6 linked regions of the Coturnix japonica genome follow. The protein of the gene in region 2 interacts with the protein of the main gene of each other region in a pairwise test. Links are inferred from orthologs where the notes say so. Each region holds a gene or a part of one and is shown on either strand. Other genes may lie near its edges.

Evidence for each region.
Region 1: the proteins of SNCA (region 2) and SQSTM1 interact in binary tests that used the Homo sapiens proteins (3 or more experiments, as listed by UniProt). The link is inferred for Coturnix japonica from reciprocal best matches to the Homo sapiens genes SNCA and SQSTM1.
Region 3: the proteins of SNCA (region 2) and myomegalin-like interact in a two-hybrid assay, tested with the Homo sapiens proteins (2 studies listed by BioGRID and IntAct). The link is inferred for Coturnix japonica from reciprocal best matches to the Homo sapiens genes SNCA and PDE4DIP.
Region 4: the proteins of SNCA (region 2) and torsin-1A-like interact in a two-hybrid assay, tested with the Homo sapiens proteins (2 studies listed by BioGRID, with this or other methods). The link is inferred for Coturnix japonica from reciprocal best matches to the Homo sapiens genes SNCA and TOR1A.
Region 5: the proteins of SNCA (region 2) and SDF4 interact in a two-hybrid assay, tested with the Homo sapiens proteins (2 studies listed by BioGRID and IntAct). The link is inferred for Coturnix japonica from reciprocal best matches to the Homo sapiens genes SNCA and SDF4.
Region 6: the proteins of SNCA (region 2) and LAMP2 interact in binary tests that used the Homo sapiens proteins (3 or more experiments, as listed by UniProt). The link is inferred for Coturnix japonica from reciprocal best matches to the Homo sapiens genes SNCA and LAMP2.

The regions. Positions count from the first base shown.
Region 1 is NC_029528.1:4,616,723-4,620,860, reverse strand, and holds the start of SQSTM1 (sequestosome-1), read right to left. Parts: upstream 2,801-4,138; 5' UTR 2,724-2,800; coding exon 2,546-2,723; intron 2,446-2,545; coding exon 2,350-2,445; intron 1,620-2,349; coding exon 1,390-1,619; intron 1,295-1,389; coding exon 1,138-1,294; intron 696-1,137; coding exon 606-695; intron 89-605; coding exon 1-88. UniProt on the Homo sapiens protein: Molecular adapter required for selective macroautophagy (aggrephagy) by acting as a bridge between polyubiquitinated proteins and autophagosomes.
Region 2 is NC_029519.1:31,290,067-31,294,101, forward strand, and holds the start of SNCA (alpha-synuclein), read right to left. Parts: upstream 2,801-4,035; 5' UTR 2,633-2,800; intron 2,370-2,632; exon of another isoform or gene 2,349-2,369; intron 1,190-2,348; 5' UTR 1,165-1,189; coding exon 1,044-1,164; intron 1-1,043. UniProt on the Homo sapiens protein: Neuronal protein that plays several roles in synaptic activity such as regulation of synaptic vesicle trafficking and subsequent neurotransmitter release.
Region 3 is NC_029523.1:4,147,417-4,150,916, reverse strand, and holds part of myomegalin-like, read right to left. Parts: intron 3,039-3,500; coding exon 2,880-3,038; intron 2,553-2,879; coding exon 2,439-2,552; intron 2,211-2,438; coding exon 2,073-2,210; intron 1,805-2,072; coding exon 1,625-1,804; intron 1,366-1,624; coding exon 1,171-1,365; intron 371-1,170; coding exon 224-370; intron 1-223. UniProt on the Homo sapiens protein: Functions as an anchor sequestering components of the cAMP-dependent pathway to Golgi and/or centrosomes.
Region 4 is NC_029532.1:4,312,227-4,316,386, forward strand, and holds the start of torsin-1A-like, read right to left. Parts: upstream 2,801-4,160; 5' UTR 2,786-2,800; coding exon 2,509-2,785; intron 2,328-2,508; coding exon 2,062-2,327; intron 1,576-2,061; coding exon 1,400-1,575; intron 1,308-1,399; coding exon 1,180-1,307; intron 529-1,179; coding exon 278-528; 3' UTR 1-277. Other genes in the region: C17H9orf78 (telomere length and silencing protein 1 homolog), read right to left, coding at 3,326-3,417, 3,782-3,880. UniProt on the Homo sapiens protein: Protein with chaperone functions important for the control of protein folding, processing, stability and localization as well as for the reduction of misfolded protein aggregates.
Region 5 is NC_029536.1:2,140,754-2,144,253, forward strand, and holds part of SDF4 (45 kDa calcium-binding protein), read left to right. Parts: intron 1-1,403; coding exon 1,404-1,540; intron 1,541-1,740; coding exon 1,741-1,854; intron 1,855-3,500. UniProt on the Homo sapiens protein: May regulate calcium-dependent activities in the endoplasmic reticulum lumen or post-ER compartment. Isoform 5 may be involved in the exocytosis of zymogens by pancreatic acini.
Region 6 is NC_029519.1:15,316,921-15,321,143, forward strand, and holds the start of LAMP2 (lysosome-associated membrane glycoprotein 2), read left to right. Parts: upstream 1-1,423; 5' UTR 1,424-1,497; coding exon 1,498-1,558; intron 1,559-3,935; coding exon 3,936-4,054; intron 4,055-4,223. UniProt on the Homo sapiens protein: Lysosomal membrane glycoprotein which plays an important role in lysosome biogenesis, lysosomal pH regulation and autophagy.

The sequences.
Region 1 (4,138 bases), on a different chromosome or scaffold from region 2:
GACTCGGCACCGTTATTCTCTTGATTAGAAGCAGGAGTCACTTTGCTTCTCTGTCCTCCGTGTTCCACATCAATATCAACTTCAATACCTGGGAATACATTTGAGACCAAGAAAAAACCATTAGATTTTTGAAAGCACGGTTCTAAGAAAAAAAGCAAACTTTAATCCTGGACTAAGTGCTGCAGCATGACTGTAACCCTACAGCTCCCCATATAATACGTATGAATTCAAGTGCAAAGCGTTCTTTTAGTTAGCTCTGATGCACCAATTAGTCATCCTGCACTAAAAAGACAGGCCATGTGTTTAGAGGGTCAAGGCAGACCTTAAGTATGTGTGCCTAAGCAAAATACCACTGTAACATGATTTTAAATCATCGGTGATTTGGGGTTATATAATTAATCCCTTCCTTGGATCCTTACAAAGGACTCTGAAAAGGTACTGAGTAGATGGCCTATACCCACACAATTTTAGTACACAGAAACTTAAGGCTTTTGAGGCTGAGTAGCACAAAGTGGTTCTGGTACCAGCCACAACAGCTGGCTGCTGCTCCTGGTGGGAGCAAAGCCATTCTCAGGGATGGGGATGACACACCATAAGTCACTTACCCAGGGGGCTCAGAAAAGCTGCCACACTCTCCCCAACGTTCTTTAAGAAGGTGACATTGGGGTCCTGGGGCTGGCTGTTAGTAGAAGCTTCTAGAAGAACAATTTGTGTTAGTACACATAGCAGCCCATAGGGAAAGAGCACATCCCCAGGAATTCTTGGTGCTTGTTTTGTGTCACTCATCTGCACAGCACCAAGGCAGCAGAGAGACCAAAACCACCTCTGGAACAGAAGACCAGTGGCATTAGCACTGTTAAGGCTCATCAGCCATGCTGAAAGCACATCTAAGAGCAGAGCAGTGACATGCTTGACCTAATAGCTCTGCTTGGTCTGGTTCCAAATAGGCTCTCCATAACCTCATATATTGTGTGGCCACCAGACCACACCAGTGTCCTGGAAAGGGCTCATTATTTCACACAAATTGGATTAGTTCCCATGTCTATTTTCCCACCCAGATCCCACACTGGGCTGTGAAGTCCCAGCTTCTCTGGCTCCTCCACTACTATTCTCCTTTAGCAGACCATCTCCTCTTACCTCCAGCAGCGGGTGGACTGGAGGCAGCAGCACTGGCCTGGGCTTGTTCCGAGTTCTGGCACGGAGCTGCAGGTGCGGGATACCCCCAGCAGTGCATCCAGGGGAAGGGTGGAACACCATGCCGCATCTTACGGAGCCAGCGCCCTCTGGGAATCCACTGCAAAGGGTAACGTTCATGGGACCAGGTGAAACTTAAAGCTTACATTTGGGCAGCATCCCTTTTGTTGGTTCTGCTCCATAGGTTTTGCTCACCTCAAACGGATTCAGCAGCGGGCTCTGAAACATCACCATGTTGTGCTCCTTGTGGATGCCTTTCCCCTCACAGGTGCTGCACAGGTCGTAGTCTGGGCAGACGGTGCACTTAAATCGAGCGCCCACCACCGGCCCCTCGCAGCCGTCACAGATGACATTGGGGTGCACCATGTCCCGGGGAGGCTCCTGGCTGCACTGGGAGCGATGTTCACGCCTGCACTCCTTTTTCTCTATTAAGGAAAGGGATCTTTGCATCAAGAACGAGGGTACTATTTAAAGGCTGGAAATCGGGCAGAGGGGAAGGAAACACAAACAGCCCTTGTCACAGCAGTATTGACTTACTAGGGCAGTTTATTTTTACACTGGCTGCCAAACACAAGCTGGGGGCACATAAGAACATAAACCAAGTGCAAAGGGGTGGTTCAAGGATACCCGCTCTTCAAACACTTTGTTTTAGATCAGTGCTGCACCACCCTGCCTGGAGCATCCTCCTACCTTGTGGAGTGCTGCGAGAAGAGAATGTTTCTGAACAGAGCTGAGCAGTGCCAGGGGACACTGCAGGTGAGAACTGAGACAAGAAGGGCGGCCTACACTACTCACATCACAGCCTACAGATAAAGCTTTGTAGGTGTCCAAGTGAACAGAGCGGACTGGGGAATGATGTGCTTAGGAATAAGCTGGTTTTGGGGTTTCTTTACATGTCATGGCACCTGCTGGCAGTACGGCAGGGGGTTCCTAGGACCATCCTGAACACTGCAGCGCTCACTGTGCCAACCCAGGCCCCGGAGCCAGGAGGAACCCCTGCACACAGTGGGTCTGTGCCCGTCTTTACCTCGCCCTTTATGTAACCTCCCCTCTGAGCTGCAGCACGAGGATGAGGGACAGGACCGGGATTTTCCCGGTCTCGGAGCCGTGCCAGCAGCACAGAGCGCTCGGTGCCACCGGGCTGCGGGGCGTTACCTTTGATGTACACACGGAAGACCCCGTCCTGCACGTAAGGCATGGCCATATCCAGCTCCTCGTCGGTGGAGAACGCGATCAGGTCCCCGTCTTCATCTGGACAGAGCAGAGCACACCGTCAGGCGCTCGGCCCGCACCCACCTCCCGGACAACGAAGGGGGCCCCGACCCACAGCGAGCCCCCCCGCCCCGCTCACCCTTGTAATGCATACGGAACGCGGGCGGCGGCCCGGCCCGCAGCAGCCCCTGGAAGAGCTCGGCGACGCGGTCGTGGACGGGCTGGTAGCGGACGGGAGCAATGAGCGAGAAGCGGCGGATCTCGCGGGCCGCGTCGTCCTTGCCCAGCAGGTAGGCCTTCACCGTCAGCGCCGCCATGGCTGTGGCGCAGCACGAATTGCTGCGGGACAACGAGCGGCGGGAGGCGGCGCGGGGCGGGCGGTGCTGCGGGAGGGAGCGGCGGCACCGAGCCTTATAGAGCGGGGGGACGGGCCGGGGTGGGCACAGCCCTGGGTTAAACCACGACCACTGCCATTAGGCACCGCCCCGCCGCCTGGAAATACAGAGCCCATATTCGCCCCGAAAGTAATGCCTCCTATTTATCTGCATGGAAACTACAACAGCTACAGAGATCACAGTGACGCTGTTTGACAGAGCAGGTTCTCAGCTACAAAGCACTGTTTTTCAACGCGGTCACCACCACTGTGCTGTGCATTGTCATCAGTGGTGAACACGAGGCTGCATGCTGCTCTACAGGTGACTGTGAAACACACGGCCATGCCGTGCTCACAGTGCTGTGCTCACAGTGCTGTGCTCACCCACTCGTTGGGCTCCATAACACTCAGCAGCTGTTGGCTCCTTCACCCTCTGCTGCCATCCCACCTGCAAATGGGAGGCATTACTTTTGGAGCAACCCCTTTGCCTCAGCTCTGTAGCACTGATTCCCTCCAGCCCACAGCCTGGCTGCCCACCTTGGGCTGAGGCAATCACAGTGTGTAAGCCATGCTGTGCTGCACTGCAGGGTGAGCGTCCCCCCACGATGGGTTGTGTGTGCCACAACACGGCCTGCCGTGTGGATGTGCCCTTGGTGCACATGTGGCTGCTCTGGGATCACAGCACGCTCCTGGGACGTGGCACTCGTGCAGCATGAGGTGACAAGTGAGAGCTTGGTGTGAGCCACAGCCAGGCATCAACATGAGTCCTTGCTCTCCTCCATGGGCACTTCCATCCAGTAAACATGGAGAGCGTCCCATCTCAGCTGCCTGCTGAGTCACGCTGGGCTCTCTGGCCGTGACATCATTCACTTTCTCAAAGCACAAAGCAAACAAGGCCTGCGGTGAGCAGTGAGCTCAGCTCAGTCACGGGACGGGGTGACTCAGCATTCCCTGCTCCTCCTCGAGGTGGGGATTTCCTCCTCCAGGCCCTGACTCTGGTGTTTCCCCGTGGCCTGGTGCTTCGGCCCTGCCGTGCTCCCATGTATTCCAATGGCACTCACTGCATCCTCCCATCCCACAGCCGGACGGACAGACAGATGTCTCCCCACCAACCCCAACTGCACACTGCTCTGCAGCCTGAGATTTGGCTTAAGCTCTTGTTAACCTGAGCCTGTATTAACCTGGAGGACCCAGGCCTGGAATTTATCTGGCAGCACTGAATGTTTTCTTGCTCTTCTTTAGGAACCACATTCCATCCATAGAACAACCCTTGCTCAAAAAACCACTTGTCAGCCCCGGCTTATGAGCAGCTCCCCAGATGGACGGAGCAGGAGGACAGCAAAGAGGATGGGAATAAAA
Region 2 (4,035 bases):
CATCCATTACAGAATTGACTTGCTGCCAAATCATAAAAAAAGAACGAATCTACAGAAAAGAGTGTATTTTCCTTCCTATTCTACTACCATGCAACTGAAATTAACTTAAAAAAAATAAAATGGAATTCCTCCAGTTTAAATGACCTATTCATATGTTCTTGGCAGCTTTTTTCCTGTTCATTTTTCACTATGGCATTTATGAGACAGTACTTTAAGGCCTGGTAGTTTCTAAGTGAAGACGATGATTGTGTCGTCAACAGTCCAATGTGAGATTTGAAAAGAATCTTTCCCCGGGTTCCATGCAAAGTACTCGCATAGTCTGGGTAAGTCAACTAACATCTGCTTCCCACTTTCTCCACTGTCTCAGTGACCGTAAAGGTTCTTCTTTGAGTAGCCATGGAAAATAGCTGCTGAGGATATGCAATAGTAAGTATAGAACATTAGGTTAACTTTGAAAAACAAGGAGCTGACACCTCACCATTCAAAATGTTACTGCTGAGGACCTTTATTTAGTGAAGAAAGAAAACAAGCTCCTTTCTATGGGGTGTACAGTTATCTTCCTTCTACTCCAGGAAAAGACATTGGCACGTCTTAGATTCAGTTCCAGAACCAACATCTCAAGTTTTTTCTTTAAAAATCCTGCTTAAAACTCAGGCATTCTACAGGATTCTGTGAATTTACCTCCCATATAGCAAGCATCTTAAATAGGGCCAGTCAGTAACTTGCATTGTAAGGCCTCTTCCAACAGGCAAGTTTATCCTGTACAACATTACAAATGCAGCCCCATATGACCAGCACACACAGTGACAAGAACCAAAAAAAAATACATGACACACAACAAACAGCAATCAAACAAACAAGCAACAATCGTCAAAGACCCTATGCTCAGGAGAGTTCAAATCTCATCATGTTTACTTTGCAGTTAATCCTCTCCTATGAGTGATTACATATTTCAGAGAAGAGAGAGAATTCAGCTCTTTCTTTCAGATGAGCGGGGCTGTCAGGGTACACCAATCAGCAGCACAACCTCACTGCCCACCTACCCACATAGAGGACTCCCTCTTTCGTCTTTCCTGCTGCTTCTGCCACTCCCTGCTTGGTTTTTTCTGCTGCTGCTACAACCCCTTCCTTTGCCTTGTTAAGTCCCTTCATGAAGACATCCATGGCTGAAGGATTTCTTCACACAACACTAGAAAAAAAAAAAAACAATACCAAACACACTTTAAATAATGGTTCTCAGCTTTTTTTTTTTTTTTTTGCCAGAAAATTTTATTAAAACTGATTGCACATCAAAATACTTTTGAAATACATTATTTATACTCACATATTATATAACTTCCATCTACATCCGTATTAGCAATATACACATACCTCTCTGTATCTAGGATCGCTTTCAGTATTTCAGATAGACAAAAAACAGTTAAATAACTAGAAAACAAAGGAGCTCCATTACACAACTCACCTTTACATCTCACATGCTACCACAGAGCAAGTTCAAGTTAAGCAGTATGGCTAAGGTAGTCCCTGAAAGGCCCAGGAGTTCCCACAGAAACGTACAGAAAGGTCACTGATAACGCAGTTCTCATTTGAAGTTGCACTCACTGAAAGGAACAAATCCATTCCTTGCCTACCACCATCTCCTCCAAAGGACAGTTTCTTGTCTATTAACTACAAGATCTAATCCCATCATTCGCTGATGCTCCACCTTCTCATTCAAAGGAAAAACTTAAAAACTAACAACTTTACAAACGCTTCTTCTAAATGAGAAACGTTCGCTCATTGTTGTTTGAAGAACCACTAATGTTCCAGAAGGACTTGAGCAAACACAAAACTGCTTTCCAGCAACCCAGCATTTTGCATGCAGCCCATATTGCTCTGCCAGCACTTGAGCTTTCAAAAGGGATCCTGCACATGCATCAAGACTAAGGAGGAAAAAAAAAAAAAAGCAAAGGCAAGAACATGCTACACTAATAACACCACACTACAGCTAGCAAGTAGGTTCTGTGGCAGTTATACAGCCCTACGCTACAATTAGGCCACAAAGACAGTAATTAAAGCCAGCAAGACACCCCTTTCACAATCCCGTCGCCGACAGCCCCTTCCCTTTCTCCCCCTCCCCCTCCCAGAAGATGCACTGCCTGCTAGTTCTTTCCCTCCGCCGGAGGAAGGGATGTCTAGGAAGACAGTGGGGAGCTTGCTACTAACCCGTGGCAATCAGAAGGGCAGAATCCGTGCCCCACTGACACCGTAGGCAGCACCGAGAGCAGGTGTGGGAGCACCTGGGTGCAGAGCGAGGGAAGAAAGCAGTACATGGCTACGTGGCTCAGTCTAAATAAAAGAATGGGCACCTGTGGAGGAAGGAAGAAAGAACGCGCAGGGCTCTCCCACATGTATGTGTCTGTATCTATACGGACTATCCGAGGAGAAGGGCAGGGCTACGTGAGCACATAAGCACCCAGCGGCTCCCTCACACGGCAGCCGCGGCGCCCGCTGGTTTCCCCTCCCGTTCCCTTCCTCCTTCGTGCCCAAAGGAGAACACGTTGAGCGACAAATGCACCTGTCCGCACACCCACCCCTGCGGCTGCCCAGCCCCAGGGCGAGCAGAGCCTCTCATGCACTCCCCACCACCTACCGCTGGGTCCGCCGCTGCAGGAAGGCGGGGGGAGGCAGGGCAGGAGGAGGGCGAAGCGCAGAGAGACCTGATGGGAGCTGCCCCTTCTCAGCACATCGCCAACTCTCCCGACGGCAGCAAGGCAGGCAGCGAGTGTGAAGGAGAGGCAGGGTGCGGGGCGGGGGCGGTAGGAGGAGGGGCCGGGGGCGGTGGGGCGGCTCCCAGCCTCCATCCCCTTCTGGGTGGGAATGTGCTGCGGGTCGGGTATGCGTCGTGACGTGGGGGTGGGAGGTAAGGATAGGAAAGAAGAGGGGAGGCTGAGGTCCTGGTCATCTCGTGGCACCACCTGTCCGCTGTTCGCCCCGGCGGCTGAATCACAGCACTCAGAAGCAATGCGAGCAAGCTGTTGCTAGTGAATTCAGCACACCTGTTTCGCTTCACCCACGGCTCAGAAAACGCCCCCGAGCTCTTGGTTACTTATCTTCCTCTCGTAAGCCTTCAGGCCGGAGTGACTTGAGGTGAACGCTCTCAGGATTCACGCTCCCAGCTCATTTTTAAGGATGGCAGGTAATACTCTTGTAGGTAAAACAAGATCCTTAACCCCACAGCATAATATAATAAAATCTTTGTCTAAACAAGGATGAGAAGCCCAGCCTCACACCTGTTGGTCTCCATTGTACAGACCAGAGCCACTGCATTTCCCCTCTTGGTCTGTTACACTCAAGTCACTTTTCCCCAGAAAGGGAAGGCAATGTCACTTCTCTGCATTGCTGCAGAGCGTAGGCATGAAAAGCCAAATTCAGTGGAAAACAAGGTATTAGAACAGATGGACCTTCAGCATCAGTACATCAGTCAGCATGCTGTACAGATCCTGCAAAACCTTGCAAAAACAGTTTGTTCTGTCATTGCGCTCCAAAGGAGAAGCAGAGCTTGGTACAGATGAGACACAGGGATGTGAGCTGCACAAAGCACCTTCCATCCATCATACTGGGCAGACAGCAGACAGGTTCCTGCTTTTATTTCCATTCTGAGCACACAGTGCAGAGTTTTCTCTTTTTCAGGTTTCTTAATGTTTCTTTACCGCTTGGTAATCTTCCTTGGGATTCATTCCACTACTACATTTAACCAAGCAAACATTTGGTGAAATGTATTTTTTTGTGTGAGAAGGTGCTGACTGAGAACACAAACCATTCCTTCATAATTCTGCTCTCCAGAAAATCCTTAGCAAATGATCCAGCAATTGCACATCCTATTCATCATGAGCTACACTTTACTTGCAGTCAAGGTTGAAATTGCAGAAATAACACATTTTACATGAGCAACAATAACATCTCAAATTAATGACTTTGTCTGGCTAGATAGTCAGTGTTTGAGTGGAAAGCAGCTCTGTCCCCCTGGGACCTTAAGTAAATCCATACTCTGAA
Region 3 (3,500 bases), on a different chromosome or scaffold from region 2:
AAAACAAGAGTGACACTGAGTGACAAAAGCCAGTGGAATCAAGGTCAGAGTGTCCAGGCAACATTTCTGCTCCTCAGTTCCTCTGTCCTCCTAAACCTCTTTCCTAATCCCACTTTCAGTACTATCATTCCCTGTGGCACTCCCCTATCTCAGTTCCTCCCGTGGCAATAAGCTCCCTCTGGAGCCCCAAGGCCACAGGAAAAACACTGTACATGATCCTTACTTGTACAGGCTGTTGCTTGTCCTGCTTCAGCAGACTGGTACCAGTTGCCTGGATCCCGACAGGCTCCTTCCTCAACACATGCTGGCGCAAGAGCTGTAACTCACAGTTTCTTTCAGCCAAAGCATGCACCATCTTCTCAGTAGTGGCCTGATTGAGGAAGAAAAAAAAATAGGGGAAGACCGGGCTTTCTTAGAGACTACAGGAAAACATCTTGACTGATAACAAAAGCATTCTTCAAATAGTCTGGTAGCTACTGCTCCTGGTCACTCAGTGATTCCACTGCAGTCCTCTCACTTTGGCTTGCCAGACATCTACAGCCTCTCTACCTACAGAGGAACAAGTTGCTCTGCTTCCCTCACCCCCCTTCAGAAGGGGGGGGGGAAAAAAAGCAGTAGAGAGACAAGAGGAGAGAGTTTGGCCTTTCAGCCTCCTCTTTTTTTGTGAAAGGAAACTTGATGTGAAGTATCTCAGTTAACACTAAATTGCATACAGTGTGCAAGAGCAGGCAGAGCAGGAATTGTGGCATTACATGCCCAGGATCCTGCAGCAGTTTGACTGAAGTGTAAGTTGCAACACAATGAGCAAAGCTTCCTCAGAGTTCTGATCTACACAAGAAATAGTCGAGTCTTTCTTTCTGGTCTGGTAATACAGACTTATACAAGTAGCAACCCTCAACCCCCCCACCCCCCACCCCATGGTCCCTCCAACTGCCTCAAGCCTGAGAACATGAACACCCAAAAGGATCCCAGCCTCCTTCCTCATCACAAACACTGACACAGCTGAACACTGCTACAAGTGCTCCTATCATAATGTGACCAACCTAAAAGCAGCTTGGTGGTTCTCCAGCACTCAGCAACTCCAGTAGCTAGAGAGAGGCTTCAATATGCTTAACACGAGGCAGAATCATCCACCCCAGCATCCCCACTGCAGCACTGCACACAACTCACTTTGCTCCACTGCTCCTTGGTGCTCATGGCCTGCAGCAGCTCCCGGATTTCAGCATCATGCTCCATAGCTTGACGGTTCCTGTCACTGAGAAGCTCCTGCAGCATTTTTTCCTTGCGCTGAAGACGTAAGCACAGCTCCTCTGCCACCTCACTCTGTCCTGGACCCAGCTTGCACAGTAGAGTTGCTGTCAGCTCCTGAACAAAAGGAGAGGAAGGGAGAGATGGAGAAACGTTACTATGAACAAACTGCAGCCTGTTCAGGGAGAAACAGCTCTTCAGTCCAGATGGAGCTGAGTCAACAACGTTTAAGAAAGCACAGGTTATTCACATGTGCTGAAAGCAGCCAGTTTCCAAGGCACTACAAACCGCTGAGCAGCAGGCAGCCAAGAGGCTCTGGCCTTGGACCACACTCTCTGCAGATGAACTGGCTTGGAAATCTAAGTGAAGGCCTTACCTCCACTTCCTTGTTTCTGTCATGCAGGCAAGTCTGCAGCTGCTGGATGATCCCCTCCTGCTCCTTCTGCCTGCTGCAGGATTTGGCCTCAATCTCTTCCTTGAGCCAGCGGAGATTTTCACAGGTTGCTGACATCTGCTCAAGTTCCAGTGTTTTAGCTTTCAGGAGGCTCTCCAGGCTCTAAGGACAAACAACAGAAGGAGCTCAATCAGGGGCAGGGACTTTACCCTGCACAAAGACATACATCTCCATCCTTGCCAGGCACCACTTTCACATCCACATCCAGACCAGAAACACAAGAGCCCTGGGAACTTGCCCAGCACACAGGGACAGAGGAAGCCAACACCTCACAATTACTCTCCTTGACAGTGCAATCACATGAAGGTTTGCCTTGCTCCACATCGCAGCCAGGCTGGATTCCTACACACACCCTAGTACAAGGACTTACATGAATGGTGGCCTCATTGCTGGACAGGACGTTGCGCAGCCTCTCCAGGTCACCTCCACGTTCTTTTATTGAGAGACGGAGCTGTTGCAGCTCTTGTTCTTTTTCCTCTAGAGCACAGAACTTCTCGTCTACTGCTCTCTAGAATGACAAGAGTGAAATACTCAACGTGGGATAGAAAGGCTCTGCAGCTTACTGTTCTACATGGAGCACCTTAGCTCTCCCTTCCAGAAGGCTTCTCTGGAAGAATGGGCCATGAGGAACACGGGAGTCAGTGCAAGAGAGCAGTGTGGGGCTGTACTGTTGATGGTAACCCAAAGATTAAGCCACATGAAAAACAGGGATGTGTTACTAACAGAGTGCACTCACCTCCAGCGCAGCATCCCTGTCGCTGACTCGCTGCTGCAGTTTCTCCAGCATAGCATCCATGGCTGCAGAGCTCCTGCCCAAGCTTTGCTGGCATTGCAGAAGTTCCCTTGATTCCTGAAGAAGTAGCACACAACCCAGTACAGCTGTCAGTCCAGAAAACCCCTGGACAGTAGACTGAGCATCTGATCTATTCACTACACTAATGGGAATTAGAACACCTGCACCTGATTGACTAGGGCCTGTCGGGGCTCACCATGCTGTGAGCTGAGGTATGTGGAAATCTGTGCCAGCTTCCTCACCTGAGGAGCACAGGAGCATCTCTTTCCCTCCCTTCTTTTAAGGGTATGTATTAAAGCTACAGACTAACCTCCACATCTCCACATACCAAAGGAGAAGGGGCCCTGGCTAGTTATGCTCAGTCTGAGTCTTTCTGCATCTCACCTGCAGAAGCTGTTCTTTGCGAGCCAGGTGCTGACTCAAACACTGAACTCTCTGTTCTTGGGCCTGCAGCTCACGGCACTTTTCCCACTCCACAGTCTGGATCTGCTGAGCCTTTTCCTGCAGCTCTGCCTGCAGCTGCTGTACCACAGCACGCAGCTCCTGCAAAGGAAAAGCAAACACCTTGGCATTCAGTCCCCAACAGACCTGTGAAGAGTAGCTGAATCCGAAGGAACCAAGAATGACAAGGACTGCCATGAGAGCAGTCAGAAATGCTCTGCAATACTTCAGATTTCACATCTCAAAATACACTTTCATAGTGAAGCAGGAATTTATTTCCCTTCCCAGGAAATCCATTCATCTAGATGCTTCACTCTAGCCACAAGCAAAGCTTTACAGTCAGTAACAGTGAACCTCCCGCAACAGCAGATGTTAACTTTGTAACACTGCAAAAAAAGACATTTGTAACAGCTAGAAGAGTACCTGCCATAAAACATCTTTTATCATGTCTATAGGATCCTAAATCCCCAGAGAGGAAGCCAAGGAGGCTAAAAATTCTCCACGCCATATTCAAGACAGAGTTAGTCAAGTGTGTCCACACTGGTGTAGGCAGAAGTGATGAAT
Region 4 (4,160 bases), on a different chromosome or scaffold from region 2:
GCCCTGGGGTTCTGCTGATCCATGTGGGAGAAGCCTTCAGCCCCATCCGAGCCCTCAGTTCACAGTGCAGCTCTTCCTGGCCTTGCTGGCACAAGGAGGACATGCCTGGGAGCCGTGATTAGTGACAGAATTAAGATGCAGAGATGCTTCTGCTTCTTTACATACCGGTTACAGCAACGTTCCTTCCATTAAAAAGTGTTTACTAATGAAATGTCTTGGGTTCTCCACTTCATGATCAAGTTAAATTTGCTTCTTTGCAGGTTGCAGCAATAAAGCCTTATAAGTCATAGTAATAATCCAGCTTTGCGTCCACAGTTTTGCATCCTTTATCTGAATAAATCCTTTCCTCTCGGGGGAAGTAGGTCATCTCATCTGCTACTCTGTTTAAAATGTCTTCATCCACAGCATAACCACGGGATTCCACCTCAACCCTGACACACATTTTCACATGTTTGTATTCCAGAGGCAGGAAGGGAACAAAGTAGTCGATGAGATTCCTATCAATCAAGGTGCTGTGCCAAAATCCACCTACGAAAGGAAAGAGAAAGGCTTTGTTACTGCTCCTCAAGTTGAACACAGGGGGGTGAATGTCACAGCTCCTGCAACACACCTGGAGGGATCCACCTGTGTTTCTTAGGGCCCTACAGAGCACAAGTCAATCTAAAATTAAGCCTATTCTCACACTTCTGCATTGTCTCAGACACACAAACATGGTCTGCTGGATCCCTTCTGAATGACTGCATTTAAGCCCTGCTCCCCACATGCTGCTCTCACAGCCTCACCTCTCTCACTTAGAGAAGTTCCAATATTTTTCTGTTATCAGCTCTCACACACCAGCTTGTCCAGCTCCTTTTTCCCCCAGATCTTGCACCCAGCCTCATTTCTTTTATTTGCTTTCTCTTTACCATATTAGTACATCAGTAAACACACAGCACAGAACTCCCCTAATCCAAACGTAACCCACAGCCATCAAACAAGCTGCACACAGGTGTCCTCAGCTCTAAGGCATCACAAGAACTCTCCCATTGGCCACACATTGCACGGTGGCTCCAGAGCCCAAAAACTGGAGACCACATAAAGCAGAAACCTCTTCCATGAAATACACTGTGTGCACTGATGGCTGACTATCATTTATATGGGACTCTGACTGTGTCAAAGCTCAATTTCAGCTCTACTCACTATTTCTGTTATTGAAGACAGACACAGACAGCGCGTTCTGCATGTCCGTGAGCTGAATATCTTCCCTCGCCTTCCCATTCCTCCAGAAATCAAGTGCCACCTCTGTTATCTTTTCAGCTCCCGCGTTGCTAAGAAAAGAGGAAAACAAGGGTTGTAACTGAAGGTAGTTTTAAAAGGCGCTGTGTGCACAGGACAGCAAACCCAATGAGGTGCTCCTTACCTGAGGAATATGAAGATGGCTTGTCTGTACGACACCCCATCCAGAAGCTCATAATAGTCCAGAAATGGTTTGATGGCATCAATGAGTCCTGCGTGCATTTTGTCCATTTCATCAAATATGAAAATTGACCTGGGACAGATGCTCACGTTTCCTCGAATCCATGATTGCAATTGGTCCTGGGTGGCATAAAAACAGGTGCAGCTGAAAGGGTTTGCATTGAAAAGGCAGAAAACAGGACACCCAGAGACAGGATGAGATGGGCCTGAACTCCCAAGAGAAAGATATTCCTGAAACCACATTGAAAAGGAAAGGACACATCAGGACAAAGGATGAGCACCAGGAGGAACAGCAACACAGAGCAGAGCCTTGTGGAGCACTGAGTGCTTTAGGCAGCACTTTGGTCCAAGCACCCCCCAGCATCACAACTGCTCTGTTGGACTCACTGAGATCCCACCTGTAGCCATTGGAACAGGCAGAAGCAGAATTCAGTCCTCAGCCATTAGTTTGAGCCATCCAGAAATTATATGAAGACAACGCTTAAAACAAGGCACGCAAAGCAATGCTGTGCTGTATCATGAGATCCTCTCACTTAAGATCTTTGAGGTCATCTCTGCCCCTTTGCAGCCCACCCAGCAGCACCGCTGCCCTCCTGCCACCTTTACCTTGTAGAGGTTGATGCTGTGAGCGTGAGGGAAATGCAGCGTAGCCACAAACTGATGCACATAGTTACTCTTCAGCCCCCTCTTATAGATGCTCTCAGCGATGATCTTGCTGACAAAGTTCTTCCCTGTGCCCGTCCAGCCGTGCAGGGACAGAGCCAGCGGCTTCTTGGCCTGGCTGTTGCTGAGGAAGCCCCGCACGGCCCTGACCACCACCTTGCTGACCAGGTGCTGCCCGAACAGCCTTCTGTCCAGGCTCTCCTGTAGGGCTGTAGAGCACATGGGACCGTTAACAGCGAGCAGAACATCAGCGCCATCTCAACCCCATCTCATCCCCCATCCCAGCCCCCATCTCAGCTCCATCTCATCCCCCATCTCAACCCCCATCTCAGCCCCCATCCCAGCCCCATCTCAGCCCCATCCCAGCCCCCATCCCATCCCAGCCCGCACCGTTGGCGACGCGCAGCTCATGGCGCTGGAGGCAGCACTCCCTGAAGTAGCAGTAGAGCCTGGGGTAGGAGATGATGCCGGTAAGGGCCGATGCGGCGGCCCCGGCGATGGCCAGCCCCAGGCTGATGGGCTCCACGGCCCGTGATGGCGGCGCGAGGAGCAGCAGCAGCACAAGCCCCGGCACAGCCCGCCGCCATCCCTGCTGCACCTTCATGGCCGGCACGGCCGCTTCCGGTCCGCCGCTTCCGGCCTGATGTATAACTTCCGCCGCCGCCATCTTGAAGCTGGGCAGAGGCGGGGCTGGGCGCGGCCATGTTGGGCGGAGCCATAGGGTGATAGACATCCAGTCGAAAAAGGGATCAAACGAGTGATGTGGGCTGTCCACAACTCCATTAAGAACACATCCATTACAGTGCCTTAAAAGACTTTTATTAAGCCCCATCTCTTGCTTTCAGGCTCCTTCACATCACCCCCCTCCAACCTCCTCCCTGCTAACACTGATCTCTGCCCCTTCCCACTCCTGAAGGGCTCCTCCTGCTTTTAAAGGAGATTTGACTTGTTTTTCCTCCATACAGAGGATCTGTAAAGTCAATTTCATCTTCCCACTACAAAAAGTCTCGCCGTGAAAGCTGACGTTATGATAAAATAAGCTTTATGATGGAAAATAAAAGTTATATACAAGATTTTACCAGCCAGAGTTCACAAACAGATCGACAAGAGCACAAGGAAAGCTCCTCCATTCCTGGGCACTGACACAAGATCCACCATGAGAGATGGGGAGAACAAGCAGCTCTGCAGAGCCCTCAGCCCACGTTTATCAGTAGCGCCGGTTCATCTTCTTGAACTTCTCATAGTGATAATCATCAGTTGCTTTTTCATTGGGTGGACGTTTGCGATTTGGAGGAGAACCTTGAGAAGGAACAGAGGATCAGCACATTTCCAGTCCTTTCCCTGATGACATTACCTAAACTTGAACCTTATGAACTCCTGTAAAGCCACACAACTGCCGTCCCTTGCTCTATGAAAGGCTGTCCTTCAGTGCTCCCTAACCTCGCTTCCCTTGCCATCCCAGCTTTCAGCACACCCCTATCAATCAGCTTGGTTAATGCATTCTGGTGGTGACCTTTGCTGCTCCATCTAGAGGTATCACTAAACAATCCTGCATCCAGCTGGTTTCCTATGGGACCTTGCACAACAAAAGAGCTACATCTCTGTATGAGACCCCAACACATTCCAGTACCTTCCCTTAAGACACTTCAGATCAGGAACTTACGCTCAGGTTCTGGCCTTTCTGTATCCCCCACTCTCAGTGGACGGGGCTTTGGCTCTTCTTTATTCCTTCTCACCGGCGCGTTGAGCTCCTCGTGATAAACTGAAGGAAGGAAAACATCAGGTAGAGTATTTCAGAGTTGCATTCTTCACACAGATGTTCTTCTATGGCACTTACTATGACTGATCTTCAGGAGAAACCACAGAACCTCACGACAAGTGTTCCAGTAATTGCTTTCTATGGATAGGATACACCATGTTTCAGAGGCACTATTTCATCAGAAGTCACCCAAAAATGCTTAATTTCCTTCAGAACACACAAACCTGACACCAGATCACCCCTGTAGGTGCGGTCAGACATGGTAACAGGCTGCCTTTCCTCC
Region 5 (3,500 bases), on a different chromosome or scaffold from region 2:
TATCAAAACCCCCCACTGCTCACCTGGTGAGTGCAAGACAACACAAGTGGAACGTGACCACTGTGCTCATCTTGCTGTTGTTTGGTGAAGAGTTGCTGAGTCTGTGAATAAATAGGTCAAAATGTGTTTACAGTATTTTAAAACAGCGTTAATGTGTTTCAGAAGATCAGATGCTGGCGTTGTTATTTGTCTTAAGCCTGTAACATTTAGGTGACATTTAAATGCATTCACATTTAATAGCTTGAGTTTCAGTGATAACGCTTCAAGTAGTTTTAAGACTAGTTCAGTTTAAAGAAAAAAACACAACTTGGCAGCCTTTATCTGTTTGAATCAGAGTGGTTTTGTTTTGCTTTAAATAGAATCTTGCCTTTTAAATGTTACTGATTTCAGTTTTAAACATTGTTACCTTTTTTGTAATAAAATAATCGTATGCTAAAAAAAAACCCACCCCCCAAAGTGGCAGGTTACTGTCTTTGTTCATCTGTTATTTTTATATCCTCTTTAATGAAATAAGTATTAATGGCATTGCTCATTTGGCAGTCTGTTTTGATAAAGCAGTATTCGTAGTATGAGGGGTAGGACAGTGGGCTGTCAGGTTGGACACATCTTTTATTCATCTCACTAACTGAATTATGAGCATAAGTGTTTCTCAACAGGTCTAGCAGCATTGCTCAGTAACACTGTACAGGTTTGTATTTTGACAGAGCAAAGTGAGCCTGCTAGCACTAAAACTATGGGAACAAGTGTACATGCAAAGCTTTTGCAATGTGCCTGTTTAAGGGTTAAAGTGTATTGCCTGTAGTGCGTTACTGGGGATCAAGTGATCATTAAGGCAACTTGATTTTTGTTTTCCCCCCCACTTATAAGGTCTATGTAGTGTAGAATTCTTCAGAAGTCCTTGCACTGAGATGTTCACCTTTTCCATTGTTTTTAATTGCTGCAAAGAATATGATGTGATCGAGGCAGGCATGTAAAGGCAGCTTATCTGTAAGCTTCAGAGACTTTGGAAAAACAAGGGAAAAAAGACTTGCAAAGTTAAATGGAGGGGGAGTTACTGATTTGGGAGATTCTTAGTGCAGAAATTTGTCACAGTAGTGAAAGTTTGCAAGAGCTGGCAGTTGACTATTATGAGCCATTAGGATATTATCAGTATTTGTAGTTTCCTCTAGAAATGTACTCAAAAGCATAGTATCGAAATGAGTTAAGTTACAGCCAAGTGAAACATGGTAGAATGTTTTTGAACTAGGCAGTTACCTGCTGTACCTGCCTGTAGAAGGATGGATGTGAAAAACAAGGGAGCTTTTCTACTATAAGCCCAGAGTCTATCCTCTGTATTAATCCTCTATGTAATCCTTTCAGTTAAAAAAAAAAAGAATTAAATCTTGTCTGCTGTTCTTTCACAGAGTGGATATAGATAATGATAAAAAGATAAGTGCTAAAGAGATGCAGCGCTGGATCATGGAAAAGACAGATGAACATTTCCAGGAAGCTGTGGAAGAGAATAAAATGCATTTCCGTGCTGTGGACCCTGATGGTGATGGTAAGATAAAGTGTTTCTTCTGCCTCCTGTGACATAAACAGGTTATTTTCACAAGGCCCGTCTGCTGTAAGGAAACAGGAAAGTGAATCAGGTGGTAGTTCTCATAAAGTTTATTGTGATGGTCTTGTTCACAAATTAGACCCAAAGTTCCCATTTTTTGCTATACTAAGTCATGTCTGAGATATGGCTCTCTCTTACAGGTCATGTTTCCTGGGATGAATATAAAATCAAGTTTTTGGCAAGTAAAGGATTTAATGAGAAAGAAATCGCAGAGAAGATCAAAAACAATGAAGAGCTGAAAATAGATGAAGAAAGTAAGTGGAGGCTGTTGGAGTCTGGTTTGTTGCTTTAATTCTGTTCTTTTGCTTTCCCAGAGCCTGAGTATCAGATCTGTTCTTAATGCTGGAGTAATATTTTGGTTGTTCTGCTAATACAGAACGTGTAAAACATAAGGCAGAAATACTTGAAGTGTTTCTAAATCACATCTGCACTCACAGCCCTCTTGATGCAAATATTTAACATTGCTTCCTTATTTGTTACTTCCTATGTGAGCAGTTGCAGGTGTCTGTGTTTTATGGTCTGCTGAAGTTTGTTAATCTGTGTTATCTGTGGACCATTGCATTATTACCTGGAGTATCAGCTTCCCTGTTGCCTCAAATGACAAGTAGCTGGAAGTACCCGATTTCTGCTCTAAAACTGAGTATGTATGCCGAAATAGTGTGTATCTACGTATGTTGGTGTTCTGTTCAAACAGGCACTGCAAAAGATTCTAGAAGTTAATAGCAGAAGGTTACCTAACAGTTGTTTCATGTTTCCTTTAAGCTCCCTACTGAGAGATTTTTTTCAGATTAGTGAGATTGATCATTTCTTCCTTACTACTTTTGAAACTTTCATTTGAATCTGACTTGTTGCAAACATGGCAATGCTTGAGATTAACCTGCCCACATCTAAAAGCATTCAAATTTTATTGTTAAGTAAAACATCGAGCCTTAGCCTTTCCTTGCAGGAATTAGTCATTTAAAAATGGGTTTTATTTTCCACTTATCAAAAAGCAACTAAAATGCAAATGGGCCTCTGAGTTCTGTGGCAGGGAAAACACCTGTACAGCATGTTCTATGGCAGTGTGGTTAATAGCTACAGTTTACAAGAATGCTCATCAGATAAATCATGTACTGAATATGGGGGGAAAATGTATATAATTCTTCTACCTGGGTAGGAAGCCTTATTTGGGAAAACCAAATGAATTCCATTGCTTGCTGAAGATGATAGTGCTGAGTAAAAGGACTTTTAATGTCTGTACAATTAGAAAATAACTGAACATGGGAATCAAGGCAAGGTCTGGGTTTTAGGCGGAAGCTGATGCAGATGTCTAGCACGTTACAGTGTAGAAGTCAGGTCATATCTGGGGACACAACCTGTTTTAACTTACTCAGATAACTGCGGTTTCAACTGATTAGTGACAGTTGAATTTCATTAAGGACTTGAAAAGCAGGCAAAAAGGGAGGCCTCTCTTATGACTTCTAATGTTTCATAATCTGATTATCCAGCGCTAACTGGTGTTTTTGAAATAACTAAATCTTTCCATTTACAAACTGACTTTGAGATTCATATTAGGACTCCAAAGAATTTTATTACTCTTCACACAAAAAACCCCACATACTGGAGGCTTAACTTGTAATTGCAACTATTTTTTCAAAATAAGTGTAGATGCTACCATGCCTGCATCTCTTTTTATTGTAACTCATGCAACCAAAGGCATGCTGGAGATATGGAAGACAGCTTATTAAACGAATTATATATATTATGCCATGAATGTGGTCTTTCAGAGCTTCTTTACAACTTGTGAAATGCCCGTGCTTCATTTTTCATGTTTGTTAGTTCATCTTACAGATATGGTGTGCCACAGACTGTATTTTTTTTTCCTATGTGTCATTTAGAAAATGCCTACACCAGAGAAAGA
Region 6 (4,223 bases), about 16 Mb from region 2:
CTGCACAAGATTGACACACAAATTCATGAAGTGTTCCATAAATTTTACTGGCTGGAGGGCCATGCCCAGAGGGTAGTGGTTAATGGAGTTAAATCTAGCTGGCAACCCATTACAAGTGGTGTCCTCGAGGGGTCGGTTCTGGGGCCCATCTTGTTTAATATCTTCACTGATGACCTGGATGAGGGGATTGAATGTACCCTCAGACAGACACTGAGGCCTTGGAATGTGTCCAGAGAAGGACAACAAAACTGGTCTGGAGCACAAGTCTTACGAGGAGCGGCTCAGGGAGCTGGGATTGTTTAGCCTGGAGACTCAGGGGAGACCCCGTTGCACTCTACAACTTCCTGAAAGGAAAGGAGGGGTTTGGCCTCTTCTCCCAGGCAACAAACAGGACCTGAGGAAATGGCCGTAAGTCATATCCGTGGAAGTTTAAGCTAGATATAAGCAAGAACTTTTTCTCTCAGAGAGTGATCAGGCACTGGAATGGCTGCCCAGGGAGGTGGTGCAGTTGCCATCCCTGGCAGTGTTCTGGATGAGGAGCTACGAGCAGGATCGCTGCTGTTGCCTACACGAGTTCTGCTGCTCAGGACAAGGCAGGGAGAGGTGCTGGCTCAGGGCTGGACGTAGCGTGTGACTGGGGGCTATGCCCATAGAGCGGGACAGACAAGGAGCTGCTGATCACACTGCCTGCTTACAGAACTCTGCTTACAGGCATAATACGCCAGCCAACACATAGTTAAAATGACGTCTTGAGCACGCTTGTATAACACCCGTGTCCCAGCACCGCCTCCCTACCTTTGCTTCTGCCTGCAGGCTGGGAGCATGTTTATCCAGCTGTATCACAGCGTGAGCTCTCAGTGGGCTTTAGCAGGAAATCCTGCAGCAGCCTGGGCTCTGATCCCTTCACCTCAGCACAAAGCTTTCTTTTTTTGGCATTCCACGTGATTGCCCCGGTCTTGACTCAGCACTTTGCTGGCCCGGCAGCATTTAATGGTTTGGTTTCCCATCACCACCTCCTCCAGAAAAACAGCAGCTCAGAAAGGCCGCCATCTGCTCGGAGCGAGTGTGAAGTGCAGCTTTCATGCAGTTTAGATAGAAAGCCATTGTTTTAGAGCCGTGGCCATCGTGCTACCCCAGTAACAGCCGCAGCTGAAGCGCTCTGCTGCCAGGCTGTGCTGGGCAACGCTGTTTCTCCCACCATTTTTCCTTGTACTGAACTGTAAGCCGCCCTGTTACTTTAGCCCTACACCAGATGCTAATTTCACTCTGCTCTATTGCACATCACCCGATTTACTTGTTATGATATCTACCATCCCTCAGGGCCGCTGCACACAGAAAACCCACCCGCCCGCGGCACCGCGAGGGGCGCAACCGATCCGCCAACCGCGGGATCGAGCTCCGCCCGGCGCTTGGCGGCGCCGCCCTCCCCTCACATGACCGCTGTCGACGCTCTTGCCGCGCCCGCCCGCCCCTCGGCAGAGCCCCTGTGCCGGCACTATGGCCCCGCGCCGCCCCTACGGACTCGAGTTGTTGTCGCTGCTGCTGCTCGGAACCTGCGGTGAGCGGGGCGGTGCGGGGTGGGTGTGGGTGGGTGTGTATGGGTGCGGGTGCGTGCCGCTGTCCCTGGGGCCCGTGACGCGGCCGGTTGCCGTAGTGCCGTAGTGCGGGCGGGGGGGAGCGCGGCGGGGCCCAGCCGGACCGGGCGGCGCCTCCCAGGGTCGGAGCGGGGCGAGGAACCCGCTGCGTGAGGCCTAATGCAGCCACACGGCTGTGCGTGCAGAGGGGAAACGGACCTTACGGGGCTCCTGCTTGTCCTTCTGCTGGGGCAGAATAAAAAGCGAAATAAGGACGCTCTGATCGGGAGCCACAGCTCTGGGTGTGAAGCGCGGAGCTGCGGAGGGGCATCGCAGGCTTAAGGCAGGCTCCGTCCTGCCTATAGCCTGCCGTGTGACGGTGGGCTCTGCCGTCTCCAACGCTGTTATACAAGCAGGGTGAGAGGAGCTGGGATGTCGCTCCGTGCCATGAGGCTTTGGGGCCTCTGCTTTTCAAACGGTGTGCGATAAGCGTCGCAGTTCATACGGGGCATGAGGAACGTGTGCTTTCTTATGGCATCTGGAAGGAACCCCTACTGGGGAGGAAACACACCGATATCTGCTTTTACAGTTGCAGTTACTTGCTGTCAGCATAACTAAGTAGGCCAGGGTGTGCCTGGTCTGCCCTATGAACTTGCTTGGTGTGGCATTTCTCTTTGCTGTCCTATTTGGTAGCACCTATGCTGAAATATCCCCTTTGGAGAAGTTAGTTTCAAGCTGTTTTCCCTGCGGAGAGAGCACCTGTGTGTGTGTGTATGGGTTGCACTGGTTGCCCAAAGCTTTAGATTTGGCCACGTTCTTTCTGAAACGAGAAGCACTGGTGCACAGGTGCAGTATCAAATCCCTCCTCAGCTCAGAAGGGAAGGACTTTTAGTGTTGCTGGAACTCCAAACTGACTCTTGGCAACGAGTTCCGGTGCTACGTGGTAGCAGATTGCAAAGCTGTTATCTCTCGGTTGCACCATCCATCTCTGCACAAACAGTAACTGTTGTAAAAGCCACACTGCACCGTTGCTTTAACAACGTGCAGGCTCCTAGCCTAGGCATGAGACGTACTGCTTGGATCTGTTACCCTGCTTACTGAGAATCAGTAACTAAAGAAGTATGGCTGTTGTCAGGAGACTCTTAGGGCTTATTTAATAAGTTGTTCTGTGAGCTGTTGGGGACAGGGTGCGTGTTTATGTGCCTCCTGTAAATAAATAGAGTGTGGCTTGGGTTACTGAACGTGATGCTTAAGTGATATCATCAGGTGTTATGCTTGGTCGGGTGGGGTGATGTATGTGCTGCCATTGTTGAAGCTAGAACTCCTTGAGGTTTACTGCTTCAGGTTTAGAATAAACCATTTGAAAACCTTCATTTACTGCCTTGTCCTTAGTCTGAAGTGTTCTTACCACATAATAGTTCCATTAGGGTTCCAGCACTGATAAATTAATGGTGTGGTATTGAGCACAATTTGCTTCAGAGCCAACATGGTTAAGTTTCTCCTGGCTCTACCTCGGGTACTTCTTACTCTGAACAGCATCAACAATGCAGGCTGCACTTGAATGCTGTTAAAGCCAACTGTCTTGTGTGCGGAGCTTTGTGATGCTGGTGGAAGAGAGCCAGTATGGGGCAGGGAGGAAGTCCTTAATGTCAAGGTGATGCAAAGCGTGAAGTACTGTGGATTCTGTGTGTTGAGGGGTGGAAGACTTGAATGGCTATTGAAGAGAACTGTGCAATCGTAGTTACCATCACTTTAGGGAAACGAGCCTGACTAACATCAACCTTATGTTAGTCAGGAATGATGCTTCTAACGTTTCGATCCTGTCTGTTTTAGGGAACTGTGGCAGGCTGGGAATGCTGAACAAAACCAAATGAGAACTGGCTTTGGGGAAGTCTCTGTGTTGGGAGTCAGGCTGGGTTAAAAATCCAACTACAAGTTCTCTAAAACCTTGAATGAAATTTAACATCCGTGTCCTTTGAGCCAGAAATTGTAGAGATGCAATGAAAGCACACTGATCTGAGAGGTCAGCTGGAGTCGTGCCATTAATAAGACAACATGGAGACTCTGGTCGACAAGCACTGCATTGTTCTAAATGCTGTGCTTGTGCAGTTTGGTTTACTCAGTTTCAGCCAGCAGAAAGCTAAAGCTCATCTAATTTGTTGGCCTTGGTCAGGCAAGTAGACTATAAATTATCCTCTCAATTAGTATTTAGCATTGATGGTGGGCTTCCTAGTTTTAACATTTATTAGATATCTGGCTATCGGTTCAGTGTCTGACAAATAGAATCCAATCTGAAATCATGTACTACTTTGTAATGAGCATCAAGTCTATGTTTTAATAGCTAATAATTGTATCTTACAGGTTTTTTCCAGTCCTATGCAGTGGAAGTAGATGTAAAGGATGCCTCTAATGTTACATGCTTGTATGCACAATGGATGATGAAATTCTTGATAAAGTATGAAACAAACAGTAGCGATTATGTAAGTATTTGGAGGAACTCTTGTTGAGAACTGCATTTAGCATGAAATAAAACTATTTGATACATTTTGTATTTAGTTTATTGGCTTTCTTGATAAAGGTAAAAGATAAAAGCCTAAAATAATCATACTGATCTTGTGCAAGGCTCCATCTAACCCTGCCAGGTTTATA